Linked DNA regions of Saccharomyces cerevisiae S288C. Each later gene encodes a partner of the first gene's protein in a complex. Each region holds a gene or a part of one and is shown on either strand. Other genes may lie near its edges.

What was found. Proteins that work in one complex are often made in the same cells at the same time.
Region 2: POP8 (region 1) and RPP1 share a complex: the UniProt entries of both Saccharomyces cerevisiae proteins name them as parts of the nuclear RNase P and RNase MRP complex.
Region 3: POP8 (region 1) and POP1 share a complex: the UniProt entries of both Saccharomyces cerevisiae proteins name them as parts of the nuclear RNase P and RNase MRP complex.

Annotation. Positions count from the first base shown.
Region 1 is NC_001134.8:184,189-192,198, reverse strand, and holds POP8 (ribonuclease P), read left to right. Parts: upstream 1-5,724; coding exon 5,725-5,771; intron 5,772-5,846; coding exon 5,847-6,201; downstream 6,202-8,010. Other genes in the region: PEP1 (type I sorting receptor), read left to right, coding at 616-5,355; DNA-(apurinic or apyrimidinic site) lyase APN2, read right to left, coding at 6,284-7,846. UniProt on the Saccharomyces cerevisiae protein: Component of ribonuclease P, a protein complex that generates mature tRNA molecules by cleaving their 5'-ends. Also a component of RNase MRP, which cleaves pre-rRNA sequences.
Region 2 is NC_001140.6:220,424-225,630, forward strand, and holds RPP1 (RNA-binding RNA processing protein RPP1), read right to left. Parts: upstream 3,336-5,207; coding exon 2,454-3,335; downstream 1-2,453. Other genes in the region: mitochondrial 37S ribosomal protein mS41 FYV4, read left to right, coding at 1-77; VMA22 (Vma22p), read left to right, coding at 302-847; GIC1 (Gic1p), read right to left, coding at 1,111-2,055; 2-dehydropantoate 2-reductase PAN5, read right to left, coding at 3,607-4,746; ribosome-associated complex protein SSZ1, read right to left, coding at 5,102-5,207. UniProt on the Saccharomyces cerevisiae protein: Component of ribonuclease P, a protein complex that generates mature tRNA molecules by cleaving their 5'-ends. Also a component of RNase MRP, which cleaves pre-rRNA sequences.
Region 3 is NC_001146.8:228,615-235,639, forward strand, and holds POP1 (ribonuclease P/MRP protein subunit POP1), read right to left. Parts: upstream 5,082-7,025; coding exon 2,454-5,081; downstream 1-2,453. Other genes in the region: cysteine protease ATG4, read left to right, coding at 1-240; SSU72 (RNA polymerase II subunit A C-terminal domain phosphatase), read left to right, coding at 480-1,100; ADE12 (adenylosuccinate synthase), read left to right, coding at 5,799-7,025. UniProt on the Saccharomyces cerevisiae protein: Required for processing of 5.8S rRNA (short form) at site A3 and for 5' and 3' processing of pre-tRNA.

The DNA.
Region 1 (8,010 bases):
GGGTGAAACAGATCTAAAACTCAAGAGCTTATGCATTGCTTGTAGGTACATCACATTTTACTTCAGAAAGATAAAAGAGTATGTGAAAGTAAACTGCCCTCTCCAGTTAACTCTTCCCAAACTAAAAAGTATCCGCCTGTGCGGACTACAAGCACTACCGCCCCTTGAATGAACACCAAAAGATGTGTGTAAGTTAAAAAGTCCGAACGAATTTATCCTTATGTATGTTCTTTTGAACGTCAAGTAGTCAATCTCTCCAACTACTCGGGTCTTTATATGGATCGCGTGATGTTTTAAGCCTTCTTTCCTCTAGTTTAGTGCAGTCGCTGCTTTTTTCTCGGGCTGAGTACGGCGAAAAGAAGGAAAAACCAAGGTCAAAAAATAACCTCTAAATAACAGCATGATGCAACAGCTCAAAAGACCTCTCAAGAAGCACAAAAAAAGGAGGCGAGTAGGTGGTACTATTTCATTCTACTAAGATCTTTAAAGCAATTCCTTTCCGGTTTTTTTCTCAACTACCGTACTCTTTTTCCTTTTTTATTTTGCCCTTAGATTGTATTATAAAGCTCTGTATATCTGGAAAAGCCCTGAAGTGTCCAGTAGTCATCACACGTTATGATATTACTTCATTTTGTCTATTCTCTTTGGGCCTTACTTCTCATTCCTTTAACTAATGCCGAAGAATTCACCCCCAAAGTGACAAAGACTATCGCGCAAGATTCATTTGATATATTAAGCTTTGATGATTCCAACACTTTAATTAGAAAACAAGACACCTCCGTTACTATAAGCTTTGACGATGGTGAAACATGGGAAAAAGTTGAAGGCATTGAAGGCGAAATCACTTGGATATACATCGACCCCTTCAATAGACATGACAGAGCCGTTGCAACGGCAATGAATGGGTCGTACCTTTATATAACCAATGATCAAGGTAAGTCATGGGAGCGTATAACGCTACCTGACTCCGGAGAAAGTATTTCACCTCGTGAATGCTATATAGAAACCCATCCCTTGAATAAGAACTATTTTCTTGCAAAGTGCAACTATTGTGAGAAAACAGAAGTAAACAATGACAATGAAGAGAATTCGGGGGACGAAGAGGGACAATTTGAAATATTTAATATTACACGTTGCACAGACAAGGTTTTTGCAAGTAATGATGGTGGAAAATCCTTTTCTGAGATCAAGTCTTCTCTAGAAAGGAACGAAAATAGTCCTATCAGCATTTCTGATTGTGGCTTTGCCAAGACCAGCAAAGATTCTGACCTTGAAAGTAGTGATACCTCAATAATCTGTCTTTTTCAAAATATGCAGCTTATTATGGATGAGTTTAGTTCTCCTTACACCGAAAGTAAATTGGTCCTAACTACGGACTGGGGCAAATCACTAAAAGAATTTGACCAATTTAAAGATAAGGTCGTCAATGGTTACAGGATATTGAAATCTCACATGGTTGTCTTAACCCAGGGCGACAGATATAATGATATGTCTTCCATGGATGTGTGGGTATCAAATGATCTGTCAAACTTTAAAATGGCTTACATGCCTACTCAGTTAAGGCATTCTATGCAAGGAGAAATATATGAGGACGCTATGGGAAGAATTATCTTGCCCATGAGTAGGGAAAGAAGTGATCAAGAGGAGGATAAGGGCATCGTGTCTGAAATTTTAATTTCCGACTCACAAGGGTTAAAATTTTCCCCCATCCCATGGACCGCAAATGAGGTGTTTGGTTATATTAATTTTTATCAACCTACTTACTTGAAAGGAACGATGATTGCCTCACTTTACCCTCTATCTAGGCGTCGTAACCGTAAAGGAAAAGCCAAAGGAGTAAAGAGTAAGGGGGTAACCAAAATATCTGTTGATAATGGCCTCACATGGACAATGTTAAAAGTTGTTGATCCAGATAACGCAGACTCATTCGACTGTGATATTACTGATTTTGAGAATTGTTCGCTTCAAAATATGTTTTACACACGGGAGGGTTCCACTCCAACCGCCGGAATTCTAATGACAACAGGTATTGTTGGCGATGGTAGTGTCTTCGACTGGGGAGATCAAAGAACCTTTATTTCTAGGGATGGTGGCTTAACATGGAAACTCGCCTTTGATTTTCCTTGTTTATACGCTGTTGGTGATTACGGAAATGTTATTGTGGCTATACCGTATAATGCGGATGAAGACGACGATCCTCAATCCGAATTTTATTACTCTTTAGACCAAGGTAAAACTTGGACCGAATATCAGCTAGAAACTACTATCTACCCAAATGAAGTAATGAATACAACGCCCGACGGATCTGGAGCTAAATTTATTCTAAATGGGTTTACTTTGGCGCATATGGATGGTACAACGAATTTCATCTATGCAATTGATTTTTCAACAGCCTTTAATGATAAGACATGCGAAGAAAATGATTTCGAGGATTGGAATTTAGCTGAGGGGAAGTGTGTCAATGGAGTCAAGTACAAGATCAGAAGAAGAAAACAGGACGCTCAGTGCTTGGTGAAGAAAGTTTTTGAAGACTTACAATTATTTGAGACTGCTTGTGACAAGTGTACCGAGGCTGATTACGAATGCGCGTTTGAATTTGTTAGGGACGCGACCGGGAAATGCGTACCAGACTACAACCTAATCGTTCTCTCTGACGTATGTGATAAGACAAAGAAAAAAACTGTGCCTGTAAAACCATTGCAACTAGTTAAAGGTGATAAATGTAAAAAACCAATGACAGTCAAATCAGTGGATATTTCGTGTGAGGGAGTTCCAAAGAAGGGAACGAATGATAAAGAAATAGTGGTTACAGAAAACAAATTTGATTTCAAGATTCAATTCTATCAATACTTTGACACAGTCACCGACGAATCCCTCCTCATGATCAATTCAAGAGGAGAAGCTTATATATCTCATGATGGTGGACAAACAATAAAAAGGTTCGACAGTAATGGTGAAACAATTATTGAAGTTGTGTTTAATCCATACTACAATTCTTCAGCTTATCTGTTTGGTTCCAAAGGTAGCATTTTCTCTACCCATGATAGGGGATACTCTTTTATGACTGCTAAATTGCCCGAGGCTAGGCAGTTAGGTATGCCATTAGACTTTAACGCTAAGGCACAGGATACATTTATCTATTATGGTGGTAAGAATTGTGAGTCAATCTTAAGTCCGGAATGTCATGCGGTAGCATACCTGACCAATGATGGGGGCGAAACGTTTACGGAAATGCTTGATAATGCAATTCATTGTGAGTTTGCGGGCTCACTTTTCAAATATCCGTCAAATGAGGATATGGTTATGTGTCAAGTGAAGGAAAAGTCTTCGCAGACAAGAAGCTTAGTTTCTTCTACTGATTTTTTCCAGGATGATAAAAATACCGTCTTTGAAAATATTATCGGCTACTTATCCACTGGTGGCTATATCATCGTTGCTGTTCCTCATGAGAACAACGAATTGAGAGCATACGTAACTATCGATGGTACTGAGTTTGCCGAGGCAAAATTCCCATATGATGAAGATGTTGGGAAGCAAGAGGCATTCACTATATTAGAGTCTGAGAAAGGATCGATATTCTTACATTTAGCAACAAACTTAGTACCAGGACGCGATTTTGGCAATCTTTTGAAATCCAACTCAAATGGTACTTCTTTTGTCACGTTGGAGCATGCCGTTAATAGAAACACATTCGGCTATGTTGACTTTGAAAAAATTCAAGGTCTCGAAGGCATTATTCTCACCAACATCGTTTCAAATAGTGACAAGGTCGCCGAGAATAAAGAAGACAAACAATTGAAGACGAAGATCACCTTTAATGAAGGTTCAGATTGGAACTTTTTGAAACCTCCGAAGAGGGATTCAGAAGGAAAAAAGTTTTCTTGCAGCTCCAAATCACTGGATGAGTGTTCATTGCACTTACATGGCTATACTGAACGTAAGGATATTAGAGATACATATTCTTCCGGTTCTGCATTAGGAATGATGTTCGGCGTTGGCAACGTTGGTCCTAACCTTTTACCATATAAAGAATGTTCCACCTTCTTCACCACCGATGGTGGCGAAACGTGGGCTGAAGTTAAGAAGACTCCTCACCAATGGGAATACGGTGACCACGGTGGGATTTTAGTTTTAGTTCCTGAAAACTCAGAAACTGATTCTATTTCCTATTCTACCGATTTTGGTAAAACATGGAAAGATTATAAATTCTGCGCTGATAAGGTTTTAGTAAAGGATATAACCACTGTTCCCAGGGATTCTGCTTTGAGATTTTTGCTGTTTGGAGAGGCAGCAGATATTGGAGGCAGCTCATTTAGAACGTACACAATTGATTTTAGAAACATCTTCGAAAGACAATGTGATTTCGACATCACTGGTAAGGAAAGCGCAGATTATAAATACTCTCCTCTGGGTTCCAAAAGCAATTGCCTATTTGGTCACCAAACCGAGTTTTTACGTAAAACCGATGAAAATTGTTTTATTGGGAATATTCCACTTTCTGAATTTTCAAGAAATATCAAAAACTGTTCTTGTACAAGACAAGATTTCGAGTGTGATTACAACTTTTACAAAGCTAACGATGGTACTTGTAAATTAGTCAAAGGACTAAGCCCAGCAAATGCTGCAGACGTTTGTAAAAAAGAGCCAGATTTAATCGAATATTTTGAATCGTCAGGCTACAGAAAGATCCCTCTATCAACCTGTGAGGGTGGCCTGAAATTGGATGCTCCCTCATCACCACATGCTTGCCCAGGAAAAGAAAAAGAATTCAAGGAAAAGTACTCAGTAAGTGCCGGTCCCTTTGCATTTATTTTCATTTCAATTCTTTTAATAATTTTCTTTGCCGCATGGTTTGTATATGACAGAGGTATCAGAAGAAATGGGGGATTTGCAAGGTTTGGAGAAATTAGGCTAGGTGACGATGGTTTAATAGAAAACAATAATACTGACAGAGTTGTCAATAACATTGTGAAATCAGGATTTTACGTTTTCTCAAATATCGGGTCTCTTTTACAGCACACAAAAACTAATATAGCGCATGCTATCTCCAAAATTAGAGGAAGGTTTGGAAACAGAACAGGTCCAAGCTACTCATCCCTGATCCATGATCAATTTTTGGATGAAGCAGATGACCTGCTTGCTGGCCACGATGAAGACGCCAATGACTTATCCAGTTTCATGGATCAGGGTAGTAATTTTGAAATCGAAGAAGATGATGTTCCAACACTTGAAGAAGAGCATACATCATATACAGATCAACCTACGACCACCGATGTTCCAGATACATTACCAGAAGGAAATGAGGAAAACATCGACAGGCCTGATTCTACAGCGCCATCTAACGAAAACCAGTAGAGAGATTACTTTACATAGAGTAGATAATTCCATATACTTTTCATAAACAAAAACGAGCAGATCCTTTAGACAGAATATCAAGTTCTTTCACAAGCCAAAGAAACTTGGCATGATCAGTACTGGTGCAATTCAAATAACTGCAAGTACTGAATCTCCATCTTCAAAGCAGAACCGTAATAATGCGTACAAGGAAGCGGGTGGGATATATCATATGTTACGGGAAAGTGGTTGTTTGACTGAAGATCATCGAGAACGTCATAACTTCAATACATAAGTCATCGCGTAATTTTACAAGCTTTACTGTTCAGCTTTATAGGATAATCAGAATAAGAAAAGGCAGATAAATAGTTTGATAAATGGCCAGTTGTGATGGGGAAAAAGACTTTTAGAGAATGGCAATATTTCAAGTTATCAATGTATGTATATTTTTGACTTTTTGAGTCTCAACTACCGAAGAGAAATAAACTACTAACGTACTTTAATATTTATAGTACTTCATTCGATCAAGATGTGGACGATGCACATGCTATTGATCAAATGACATGGAGGCAATGGTTAAATAACGCATTGAAACGTAGTTATGGTATTTTTGGTGAAGGTGTAGAATATTCATTCCTGCATGTTGACGATAAGCTGGCTTACATCAGAGTAAATCATGCGGATAAAGATACATTTTCTTCGTCCATCAGTACATACATATCTACTGATGAACTCGTCGGTTCACCATTAACAGTGTCAATTCTACAAGAATCTTCCAGTTTGAGACTTCTGGAGGTTACTGACGATGACCGCCTATGGCTGAAAAAAGTAATGGAAGAAGAAGAACAAGACTGTAAATGTATATAGAATATCAGTTTATTATTTAAAAAAACTTGGGCATAGAAGAAAGTGTTTTATTCTCCCAAAATATCAGCTGACGTTTTCATATTTAAACCCACTGAAAAAACCCACAAGATGATTCTGTATTATTTGAATCACCCCGAGATCTCTTGCAAATCCAGAACTTTCTACCTGGATTGGCCGAAGTTTTCGATGTTTTCAGCATGGATTCCTCCCCATGCCTGCACAGGGGAGGCTTTCCAAAGACATCCTTGAAATTCAACTTTGGCGTGGAGATTCTTTTTTTAGCTTGCTGTGGAATTTCAGAGGATTCTTTAATCCTGTCATCTTTTTCTCCATTTACCTTCTGGAAAAATGAGTCGAGCGATTTGTTTTTGATGTTGCTGTTTTTTTTGGTATTCATGACTTTTGATACACAATATTTTTGTTTATTAGATTCTTTATTCGTATCCTTTTTGGCAAACATCTCTAAAACATTATGGTTTCTTAAATTATATTTGTACCTTGCTTCGAATTTTGGTATGGGAACTTGTGTCGTACCAGGTTCAATTCTGTCGTCCAGTATATCTAAATCAGAATACACAGGACAATGGTCAGAGCCCAATATATCCGGAAGAATGTCAGCTGCTTTTATGCATCGTTCAAGCTTTAAGGACACTAGGATAAAATCTATCCGTGAGCCATAATTCGAAGGTCTTAAATTTTTTAACATATTCCAGACTGTATACATTTTAAGTCGATTTCTTGTTTGAATTAGCCTCGTAGTGTCTATCAGTATCCCCCTTTTACTCGCGTCTGGTAAAAGTGAATCAGCCAATATTTGATTAAATATCCTCCGATGTGGCGTGTCCGGATTGATAATAAATTGGATTGCTTTATCCCTATATTGTGCTTCTAACTTTGTTCCACCCATGGGATCTGTTATTGGAATTGAGAATTGTTCTAATGTATCGGCACTGTCTATAAGATCCCGGCAAACATTTACGTCGCCCATTAGCACAATCTTCTTCCCAATTTTGTCCAAATTCCGAACTCTTCTTAATAAAACTTTCAAGAACCTTAATCTAAACATCTCACCCTCCTCCGATGAGTTCGAATTTGCGGGACAATATACACTGATAATAACTATTCCACATGCCAGTTCAACCATAACACATCTGCCTTCTGAATCTAGTTCCAGTGCACTTTTCTCATCTAAATCGGGATCTAAAGAATCGTAACCACCAATTCCTTGATTTACGTCGTTTCTATAGGAGATTGCTGAATGCTTACCATTTTTTATTGTCAAGTAACCCGTTATACCTTCTTCTGCCTTAACGACTTGTAATGCATGGTATAGTGGGTGGTTCTTTTCCGGAATTCTAATCCAGCAGCCAACGCCAGAATATCCCTTTCTGGTTTGAGGGATAGAAATAAAAGAATAAAAACCATCAACTCTCCCCCACTTAGAGATAGACAATTTTTCCGTCTTGAGCTCTTGGAATGTTATTATGTCTGCTCGAAAAAAGTCGAAAACAGATCTAAGGGATTGATTCATTTGAGAAAATGGTTGATAATGAAAAAAGGTTCTTATACCATTGACATTGAAAGTTAAAAATCGTATTGTGTTCTCTGACTTTCCATCCAGTAACGTGTTTTCGCTTGATGACATAGTGTCCTGACAAGGAAAGGGATTTTCTTTACGGTGAAATAGCTTCTCTCTTGGTTGCCTATCTTTTATTGGGTAATTTTTCAGCACTTTCACATCATATAGTACATACAAACTAACTTTCTGAAGGACTAATAAATAAAAAAAAATGAATGCTTTTTGATAAT
Region 2 (5,207 bases), on another chromosome or scaffold:
GCAAGAAGTCATTTTTTGGTGGTGAGAGGAAGAGAAAGGCATTTACTGCTAAATGGAAAGCTGAAAACAAGCAATAGACGCTTTCGCAAGATCTCAATATATACATGTATACGTATATGTTCACATTATACTCCATATTCTTGTAAATATATAATAAACTCAGAAATTGTTGTCCTTCATTCATGTTGATATTTATATGAAACGCTGACTGGGCCTTTCAAATCTTCATCGGTTTGAAATTTGAATTGTAAATATGTTTTGAAGATACGATGAAATGAAAAATTGACGGCTTAACGAGAAGATGAGTGAAACAAGGATGGCACAGAACATGGATACTACAGATGAACAGTACCTGAGACTTATTGAGCTACTCTCAAACTATGATTCCACCTTAGAGCAGTTGCAGAAGGGGTTCCAGGATGGCTACATCCAATTGAGCAGATCGAACTACTATAATAAAGACTCATTACGAGGAAACTATGGTGAAGATTACTGGGATGAAACGTATATAGGTCAACTAATGGCAACAGTGGAAGAAAAAAACTCCAAGGTAGTTGTCGAAATCGTCAAAAGAAAAGCTCAAGATAAGCAAGAAAAGAAAGAGGAAGAAGATAATAAATTGACTCAGAGAAAAAAAGGAACGAAGCCAGAAAAGCAAAAAACTCAGAGTCACAAACTTAAACAAGACTACGACCCAATTTTGATGTTTGGTGGAGTACTGTCCGTTCCTTCTTCATTGAGACAATCGCAGACAAGTTTCAAAGGTTGTATTCCCTTAATAGCCCAATTGATTAATTACAAGAACGAAATATTAACGTTGGTTGAAACGTTGTCTGAGCAGGAATAAAGAGTTAAGAATATAGTAAAAAGAAATAATACATACGTGTATATTTGAAGAAAGAAATAATCATTAAAAGTTGTCGTAGATTAATTATAATAAAGTCCATGGTTTGAAAAAGAAAAAAAAAAATTAAGACCAAAATAAAAGCTCAATACCCAAAAGAAAACCGAACACCGTAATAATACAAAATCCCATAAAACACCATGTGATGGACTTAAAGACAGAATTTGGAAGCAGTTCAAAGAAGAGGAGGAAAGAAGAAAACTAGTTCAGGTATTTCGAGGAGTACTAGTTTCACTACATTGATAGTAGAATTTTAGCACGTCATCCACAGATATTCTGTTACCAGGGGAATTTAGCGACTGATCTACATTGAAACAATTTCCTAATTCGGGCGTATGTAGCGCACTCAACTCTCTTGGCTTGAATTTGCCAGAAAATGATGAAACAGAGGGAGAGGAAGGATTGGTCTTTTCGCTGACGCTATCTCCAAGAACAGAAGGAAATGTATAATTTCTCAAGTCTTCCAAGGTCATTTCCAAATCTGTAGGCGAGTCTAATTGCTTATTGCCATTTGGGGTATTGTTGGTTTCGTTACCATCGTGGTGAGAATCCATCGTTGTAGCTATTGTGGAGGAAGACACTATTCTGCTCGAATCGTTCATCACAACATTGGAATATTTAGAAGAGACGTTTGAATCTGGTCGGGGTTGCGGTGCCAAAGACGTGAATTTGACTAATGATTCTACATCATGTTTTTCTTCGTGCGACTCAAGAGGGTTGTCTTCCCTTTTACCATTAGCATGCGAAATATGGTGAAAATCAAATGGTGTAGATATACTTGACTGTTTTGCGGTTTTGGCAGACCCATGTCTCCTCGACAACAGGTCCTTTTTTTTGAACATGCCCAGGAAATTCTTCTTTTTATTAGTTAATGACTTGTGATTGGAATTTATGTTAGGGTTGATCGTCATGTAATTGGGCAAAGGGGGCAATTTGATGTTGTTCTTGTTCGGCAAAGCCAGCTTTTTACTGTCAACGAGAACAATTCCTAAATCTTCGTCGGCGTCTTCATCGGAATCCGTACTAGGTCCATTCATGAATCGTTGCCTTACTTGGAATCCATACAATTTTTCCATTTCCTGATCCTCGTCAATCCAAATGGATTTCATTTGAGGAAGCTCCATCTGTTGCAGCCTCTTTCCTTCAGTCATCCTTTAGAATTTATCACACAATTAATAAGCGAGTATTCAGAGTGAATTATAAACAATAAACAATAGAAATAAGTCTTTCTTAAAAAAAAGTAGTGATAGTCCGTACGAAGATAATTAATTGCAGAATAGTTTTCAATGGTTTCAGCTCTCAGTAAATCCTACAGGTACAATGTAACAGAATATGCCTTGGATCCCCAAATTTTTTTGTCTATTCGTTGTTTTCCTTCTCTATGGAAATCGTCGAAAAATTTCTTTGTTTTTTTTTTCCTTTATTGTTGTTGTCTTTTCGCGAATTCGCGTCGCGATTCGTGGATTGTGATGATAATAGCGATGTCTACTACCCGGGTACGTATTTAATTATCATTTATACATTATATGTTATAGGTTAGCGTATCGTTTTAAGGCTTGTGTCTTTTGGAAGCATGGCCTAATTGTTCAGCATCCATACTCCTTTTCACTACCTTGATGGTCTGGACGTCGTCGATGCCTTGAACATCGTTGACCACGTCATCGCCGTTTCCGCTACCACCACCGGTAACAATGGTCTGTTTGTGGCTCTTATTCCTTAAGCGGCCATTTAGGAGGACGAGTGAAGCTAGGTCTCCCATGGCCTTCGAACACCTATCGCTCGGAAGACCTAAATTCTTGATTAGACTTGTTACTCCTAATATGTTGCGGCACTCAAGTGGTGACATGGCACCACTGCCGATAACAATGCCTCTGGACCTCGAACTCCTGATGACGCTTCTTACATTGGATACGAACTGCCTCCGAGCTTGTACGTCACGCAAAGCATAGCCATAAACAATTTCAAGTTTTACTCCTCTGTTCACACAGCTGCATATGCTTTTATGCTTAAGGAAAGTAGGCAGGCGCGACCCGTACTGAAAGGTCAACAAGTCAATATCCAGATTGGTAGTTGATAAAGTAAGGCCCTTTTCACTGATTGGCAATGCTGCTACAATATCAAAGGCCTGGCTTATCTTGGAAAGAGACTGTCCCTTCGATGGATCGTCGATAATTAGCGTGATCCTGCTGTATAATTTTAGCCCTGTTCGATCCATCAATTCTCCAAACCTTCTCTTGATATCGATAGGATTTAACAGCTTAACATCGTTGGGGAATTTCTCGCTGTGGTTTACTGTAAAATTTATGGCGATGTGTGTATATCCCAACATATGCAATGTGGATAACGTTTTTATTAAATTGTTGACCGCCTGAGAAGTAACTTTGTCTGCATAGCTGTTCTGTGGCCACGGTACATTCAAATCTACCAGCATTCTCGGTTCTATAATGCTTTCACTTTTGTTTTTTGTGTCTGTTTAGGTTAAGTATTTTCTACTGGTAAAATGAAATTTTTTCATTTATGCGAGGTAAAATTCTGGGCATCGCACATACATTTTTCATGTTTTCTGGTAGTAGTAACAAAAGAGAGGCACTTGACAAATTAATCTGCCTTCAGACTGTTAAGGTTCGCTCGAATAAAGCATTAAGAGTGTATATATATCAGTATTTATAAATGTATATGTTCTGGCTGATATCCGCGCATTTTCAGTCCTTTCTCCAGTCACCATTGATACTTCTCGACCTGTTCAATGCTAATCTCATAGTGGCCAATTCTCCGATAGTTTTATTAACCTTGCAGCAGTTTGGGTCTAGATTTAAGTTATCAGCCAATTTGACGACATAGCCATTGATATACTCAATTTCAATGTCTCTTAAGAACAAAGTGTCTTGTCTCATTGAACTACTGTTCCTAGAATTGATGTCACAGCCAATTCTAGTGACTTCGGAGACCATGTTATCGGTTGTCAGTACTGCATTGACATCCATTTCTGGGTATTCTTCATTACCGCTGTATTTTTCGTGGTATTGAAACAATGGCCTATAAGCAACTCTCAATATTTGTAAACACTCGTCAATAATAGATGTGAAAACTGGACCGCAACTGGCCTTCATCTCACCATTGACACAATCTAGAATAGCCGTAACTGGATTCATGCATGCATTAACCAAAAATTTAAATAATTGACCAAAGAGCATTTCTTGATAAGTGGAATGTTCTATTCCAAATTCCTTGGCAAATTTTGGTTCTGTTAATAATTTTACTAATGAGTTATTGGCTGCATCGTCCTCGACTACGGATTTTTTTTGAATCATTTCTTCCTCAGTCCAAGGCAATTTGGCAATTTTCATACCAGCCCACCCAGCATGATTGAAAACTCCTGCTTTATCCTGATAAACGCCATGAGAAATGACACCCTGAAATAAATGTGGTCTGTTTTTTGAATCTGTAAAGATTTCTTCTCTCAATAGTTCTAAAACGCCCAGTCCATTCTGAATCAAAATTAAGTTTGTATTTTTATTAATATAAGGCAAATAAGGAGCTAGTGCTTCTTTGGTTTGGTAAGTCTTTGTAGTGACGACTAAGTTGTCAATAGGTTTTTTAGAGAAAGTTTCAGGGCATTCGCATTTCTCCACTGGATAAGAAAATATTGGCGAGCCTTCCAAATAAAGTTTGCGAATCGAAATGTTGTTCCCATTTGTCTTCTGAAATTGTGCAAGTCTTTCTTGTGATCTAAATAAGGGCACAACTAGGGCATTGGTAAATCTTAAAAGGTCAACTGCCAAAACGGTACCCATGGCACCCAACCCAAGAATATGAATAGTACTTCTGTGTGGTGCAGTCATATTGTACAGACTTTATCGTATACGTATATTATCGATTTCTCCTATCGATCGTAACATACAAAGGTGAGTATAAAGTATCTTGTTTTTTTAATATATTTGTATTAAGCTGAATGGCACGATAAGCCTTTCTCGAGAAACCGTTAGCGGCCGCCAATCTATAAAAAAAAGAAATCGGAAACATGAAATATGAATTTGAATAGAACGTGACTCAACAGAAAGTCACAAACCTAACCATAATAACCTTGCTATAGCATTTTTTGACTTAATTTTATATGTTCTTTTTTCAAGGGCTGTATAGTTCCATCATGTATGTATTTTTCTATATACGTATACATACCGTTTTTCTTAGAGCGCTCTATAATTCACCCTTTACAGCATTACCAGTTTTCAAATCTCTAGCGGTGACTCTTAAAGCACCGTCTTTGTTAATGTTAAAGATAATTTCAACACCGTTAGCGTTT
Region 3 (7,025 bases), on another chromosome or scaffold:
AATCTCGGAGTACTAGAGGGAGACTACGTAGATATTGGTGCAATATTCCCACACACAACAAATACAGAAGATGTAGACGAATATGATTGTTTTCAAGATATTCATTGCAAGAAACAGAAGATTGTTGTTATGGGAAACACACACACTGTTAATGCGAATTTAACAGATTATGAAGTAGAAGGCGTCCTTGTAGAGAAGGAAACGGTAGGTATTCACAGTCCTATTGATGAAAAATGCTAGTGTAAGGAATTCACTAGTTCATAAGCATATATACTTGTTTTAATATATTCCCTAAAACTGAGGTATCCAGTTCTTTTGTTCTTATTCGTTTGATCATCCTTTACGTATTTTTCGTCTGCGGCAGTGGAAAGAACTTAAAAAACGAAAGATAATAAAGAAAAAGGCCAGTCGGCACGAATTAAAGACCACCTGTAAGAAGATTAAGACAACGGTGGTATAAACTAGTGTCGAAGTCCAAAATGCCTAGTCATCGCAATTCAAACTTGAAGTTTTGCACAGTTTGTGCATCAAACAACAATCGTTCAATGGAATCGCATAAAGTCCTGCAAGAAGCAGGCTATAATGTTAGCTCTTACGGAACAGGTTCAGCTGTGAGACTGCCTGGTCTATCGATAGATAAGCCTAATGTGTACTCATTTGGTACACCCTATAATGATATATATAATGATCTTTTATCACAATCAGCAGACCGTTACAAGTCGAACGGTTTATTGCAAATGCTGGATCGTAATAGAAGACTCAAAAAAGCACCTGAAAAATGGCAAGAAAGTACAAAAGTCTTCGACTTCGTTTTCACTTGTGAAGAGAGATGTTTTGATGCCGTTTGTGAAGATTTGATGAATAGAGGTGGGAAATTAAACAAAATAGTGCATGTAATTAATGTTGACATTAAAGATGATGATGAAAATGCTAAAATTGGTAGCAAAGCTATATTGGAATTAGCTGATATGCTCAATGATAAAATAGAACAATGTGAAAAAGATGACATTCCCTTTGAAGATTGTATAATGGACATTTTAACTGAGTGGCAAAGCTCACATTCTCAACTACCGTCATTATACGCTCCTTCATATTACTAAACAAAACGGTCAATTACTGTAGAAAAGCATAAGCATTAAGCGGCCCTCATGAATCCTACATTATCCGTGAAATTTCAATACTTTCACAAGTCTTCGATAGCTTCCTAGTTATATTCATTATATAATATTACGTTTCTTGTTGCGGCTCTCTTAAGCACATTATTTGCTTGTTGTCCACATAGCTATTTTTTTATCAAGAAGCTTGATATACAACACACTGTATTTTTAGTAAGCTGGACAATGTCTTGTCTCAATGTAGCGTATAACAGGTTTCATTCCAAAACACATCACCAGATATAGGACTGAAATGAAGAAAATAGAAGCATGAAACTTTAAAAGTTTCAGTACTTTAAGAAAGAAATAAATAGAAAAATGTTCCATTTATTTCTGAAAATAAATCAAAAATTATAAGATCCACCCGTTCCTACCAAGACCTTCCAAAATTTTTCCCATAACGGGAACGAGCAAAGTTGAGACTGCTCAAAAGAGCACATCTTCAAACTACAATCCCGACCAAATAATCTCAACAGCCATACCTTCATCATAAACTTAAGTTCATTCGAATCTGCCGTCAAAAACTAAAATGGCACGCTAGAGAAAAGTAGTCAAAAAGAATGCCTCTACAAAGCTCTCTTTTGAAAGGCCCCAGCTCCCCTAACACCAATTTGAATTTGGTGTCAAACTTCTCCAGGCAGAAGAAACAAAGGGCCCCAAAAATCAGTTTAACCCAAAAATCCCCAAAGGAATCAAGGGATTAACCAATGATTGAAACAAGGGAATGGAAACGTCAGCAAACACGCCTTCCGCGCCGTATGTGTGTGTGACCAAGGAGTTTGCATCAATGACTTCAATGAACAATTATAGTTCAATGATAAATGCTTAACGTCCTTCTACTATTGGAAGCGCATGTTTGATCAGTAGGACTTCTTGATCTCCTCTGATATCTTAAGGTAAGTATGAGGATTTTAAAAAAATTCAAGAAAAAACTATATTTTAACGCTAAAAGTATGTTTGTAAAATAGTTCTATTAAATGGAACTTCTTCTCTCTATTTATACGTCTTGCCAATGGAAAACTCGTCGCCTTAGAAAAAAAAAAGGTGCAAAGACGGGTAATAATTTCATTGACATTTTCAAGAGCTAGGGAATGAATCAATGAGCCCTATGATGGCAGCGTAGATCACCGTATTTAAATTAACATATAATAAGATTTGTTGCCACTTTCAATCTCTAAATGTGTACGTATAGAGTTCCAGGAAGCAAAAAGACCATTATTGCGCGATATGATTGCTATTTGCCCTCTGTATACATAGCTTTATAGGATATCGGTCGTACATATAATTCAGTTCAGTTCATTATACGGATATTTTCGACCACTCCCCCAACCTATAAGTGTTGGTACCTACATTTCTGATCAGTACATACCTAGTTGGTTGCCGGATGGCCGCATGATGATCTATAAATCCGATTCCCATACCATTTCCACAATTTAAGTGGTAGGTGCCGCTGGTAATAAAACCAATCAAATCATGTACCTCTGGAAGTGGAATTTTCAAATCATGATCTTTTCTTCCGTTTGGGCGGTAAACCCCTTTTGCCAATTGTAGCCAATGCTCTAAGTCCTTTTCTGGAACTTGATATATTCTTGCATTGTCCTTTGGGTGACCTCGTTCGAGTAGTGTGCAAGATACAGCAATGATACAACGTGGGAAGAATGTAAGGGAGAATGAAGAACTATTGACGCTAATGCTATCAGGAGTGCGAAATTGACATTTCCGATTTTTACACAATGCAACTGGTATGTTCTCTTCAATCGACAACGACATAGCCTTGGTCTTGGCTTCATAATCTTTGCAAAACTCCAAAACATCATTTACACAGTTGATGTCTCTTACACCCTGAGCGTTAAATTGCCCGGTCTTCTTACTGTCCATCAGTTCTAAGGTTTTATCATTCCGCTGTAAATAATCAATTCCATTTCTCAGTATTTGTAAAAATCTCCAGTCTGAACTGAAAAAATCGCCGATTTCTCCGCTATATGCCGGTAATTTAGTGTTATGGATGTCTTTGATCTTCTCGAAATTAATCCTTTTTCCCATTGGCTTCCTATCCCACTTCGTCTTGGAGGCCTCCTTTTTATAAAATGAGTTTTCTATATAACCCAATTGAGTGAATGGATAATCATCCGGAAAATATAATTGCTTATTCTCGTACTGAATTTGCTGGAATTGCCTGAGGCCAATGTGATACATCCTTGGTATCCGGTTCAGTAGATGCCATAACGGTAGCAGCCAGAACCATGGTAACACAACAATCCAATCCCTGGTCTTGAGCCTTCTTATTATGACTAATGGAATAGAAGGATCGTCACTTTCTTTGAACGGGACTGTAGTTTTATTGATGCTGTTCGGTGTGGCAGTTAGCAATTTGTAACGTCTCGCAGAAATTTCTTTTAATGTGTTTTGGTTGTTGTATGATTGAGTACGTGATTCAGGGTCACATAATTCGTTAAAAACGGCGTTTATTTCGTCTTGAGGATAGTTTTCATGCAGTGATAAAATGTCGTCAGAATTAACAGTCTTCCTCTGTGAATCATTTAATTTCTTTGGAGCAGCTAGATGACGCGGATCTATGGCTTCAAATGCAAACGTACACCTCTGTGGTAGGGCATTATGATCGGTAATCATTGAAACCATTTTAAATTGTTCAAACGATTTAGAGTACTCTGTGCTCCTTAAACACGATGCTAATGACTCTAGAGCTTTAGCTCCCTTCAATGTCACGCTTGCTAATGAATATCGACAATCTTGTACTGTTAGTTTTTCCTTATGTTGCAAAAGAATGTTAAAAACCTGAGTATAAATTGAAGGGTGTAACCTTATAATTGCAGTATCCTTTTGTACCCAAAATACGTCGCATGGACCCAGTGGCTTAGTAGAATCCTCACCGTTTTCTTCATTGAAACTATAAATTAACCCTTGGAATAAAACCTGGCCTTCGCGATATTTCCTTAAGTTTGCTCTTTCAGCTGTTAACTTTCCTATAATGGATTTTAAAAAGTCCCCCTCACTGTCATTGCTTTTGTCTTTTACAATTATTGTACCAATATAACTTGAATCCATGCATAAGGCCCCATCGGAGCTGCAGGTATCACCGCCCAACCTATGCGTCAATTTAAAGCATTTTTGAGTAGGTGCCCATACCATTTGATATCCCCATCTTTTCATCATGTGCGACCTTTTAGCATTCCAAATGTGGGTGGGTAGCCAAGCAAAGTGCTTCTGTCTCTTCGTATATTTGACCCTGCCCTTGGGAATAGGTGCTAATTCATTGACACCAGTGCAATCATAGCTCCCCATACGATTATTAAGTAACTTTATATTTGGATTTGCTGTTGATGATTCTTTAATCATTCGCTTTAATGTCTTGATTTTCTGCCTTACGTGGCAGTTAGATGATGTAACCTCTGGTGGCATGCTGAGTTTCATAGAAGTAGATTTGCTAGCCAATCGTAGCAGCTTTATGGACATTCTAGCTTTATAAAGTTGCTTTGCATTTAGGCCATGAGCTTTTCTGGAAGAGGCTGAAGACCCCTTCAACACATCCTGCTGATCACTTTTACGCATTTCCCTCAAAGCTCTATTGCGCATTCTTTTTGGAATTCTACGAACATTATGCGAAGCCGTTCTACGACGCAATTTTCGAGGCAATGCCTGAAATATTCTCGTTGAGCTGGCTGCTTTGGAATTATGCATGGCCAATTGCAACTGCTTAACCTCGAATTGTCGAGAACTAATGAATTGGTCCACGTTTAGCTTACTTCCCGATTCACTCAGATCACTCGGTGTCCCAGTTTTTGTTGATGAAGCGGCCACGGCCTCTGCTCTAATTGATCTAGCATTTCTTATGCGATTTCGCTTCAGTAATTGATTCTTATTAAGAACTTTCTTTCCACCATTTCCTCTAGACAAACTCCCGCTCATTTGTAATTATAATGAGGTCAATTCTCACCTTTCTTGCCAAATGTTCAAGTGGCAGGCTGCTCAATAAGTATCCCCGTTCTTCAAAGACATGCCACCGTTCCGAGAATCTCATCGAATTCAGATCTGCTTTCTTCTAATGCGAATTTCACTGAAAAGTTTTCCCACAGTGTTACCCTCTTACCCGGGTGCAATGTCACGTGCACATCACATATGAAAAAATGACCAGCAAAGAAGTCAATCTACCTTCCTTATGGCCGGTAGAGTCAATAGTAATTTACTTTGCAACCAATTAATAAATCTGTAAACTTAAAGGAATCAGCAATTACCGCAACCCCAGAGAATCGGATGGTGAGATTAGTCCCATTCAATTCGCTCTCGTGACCAAATCGTCGGGAAAACATGTCCCACTTACCTGTTCCTGTGAATCCAGATACGGAAAAAAATTGTATTTAAATAATCTCGATTTTACATTTACTGATCGCGATCCTTTTCATTGAGTCACAGATTAACAAAGTAAATAATAATAAGTAAACATTATTTCTAAAAAAGTAATTTCTTTTTCTTACTAGTCTTTTCTTTTTTGACTTTCTCTTTATTTCTTAACTTGCCTTATAAAAGAAACGATTGTAGAAGCTTACCTCGACCGAGTAAATATTAAGCTTTTCGTTGGATAAGGTAGGGGAAATCGTAACATTACTAAATTTAAAGCATATCAGAATGGTTAACGTTGTATTGGGCTCCCAATGGGGTGATGAGGGTAAAGGTAAACTAGTTGATTTACTGGTTGGTAAATATGATATTGTAGCCCGTTGCGCCGGTGGTAACAATGCCGGGCATACCATTGTTGTAGACGGTGTTAAGTATGATTTCCATATGTTACCATCTGGTTTAGTCAACCCAAACTGCCAAAACCTTTTGGGTAATGGTGTTGTTATTCATGTTCCATCTTTTTTCAAAGAGTTGGAAACCTTGGAAGCTAAAGGTTTGAAGAACGCAAGGAGTAGATTATTTGTTTCTTCCAGAGCACATTTAGTCTTTGACTTTCATCAGGTGACTGACAAGCTAAGAGAATTGGAGTTATCAGGTCGTTCTAAAGATGGTAAAAATATCGGTACTACCGGTAAAGGTATTGGTCCAACTTATTCCACAAAGGCTTCTAGATCTGGTTTGAGAGTTCATCATTTGGTGAATGATCAACCCGGTGCCTGGGAGGAATTTGTTGCTAGATATAAGAGATTATTGGAAACGAGAAGACAAAGATACGGTGATTTCGAATACGACTTTGAAGCCAAGCTTGCTGAATACAAGAAGTTAAGAGAGCAACTAAAGCCATTCGTCGTCGATTCTGTCGTTTTCATGCACAATGCTATTGAAGCAAAGAAAAAGATATTGGTTGAGGGTGCTAATGCTTTGATGTTGGATATTGATTTTGGTACTTATCCATATGTGACTTCTTCCAATACTGGTATTGGTGGTGTCCTCACCGGTTTAGGTATTCCTCCACGTACTATTGATGAAATTTATGGTGTTGTTAAAGCCTACACAACTAGAGTTGGTGAAGGTCCTTTCCCAACGGAACAATTGAACGAAAATGGAGAAAAACTGCAGACCATTGGTGCTGAATTTGGTGTCACTACTGGTCGTAAGCGTCGTTGCGGTTGGTTAGACTTGGTAGTCTTGAAATACTCAACTTTGATCAATGGATACACGAGTTTGAACATTACCAAGTTAGACGTCCTCGATACTTTCAAAGAAATCCCAGTGGGTATTTCATATTCTATTCAAGGTAAGAAGCTAGATTTGTTCCCTGAAGACTTGAATATTCTTGGTAAAGTTGAAGTTGAATACAAAGTTTTGCCAGGTTGGGATCAAGATATTACCAAAATTACAAAGTATGAAGATTTGCCGGAAAACGCAAAGAAGTACTTAAAATATATTGAAGAT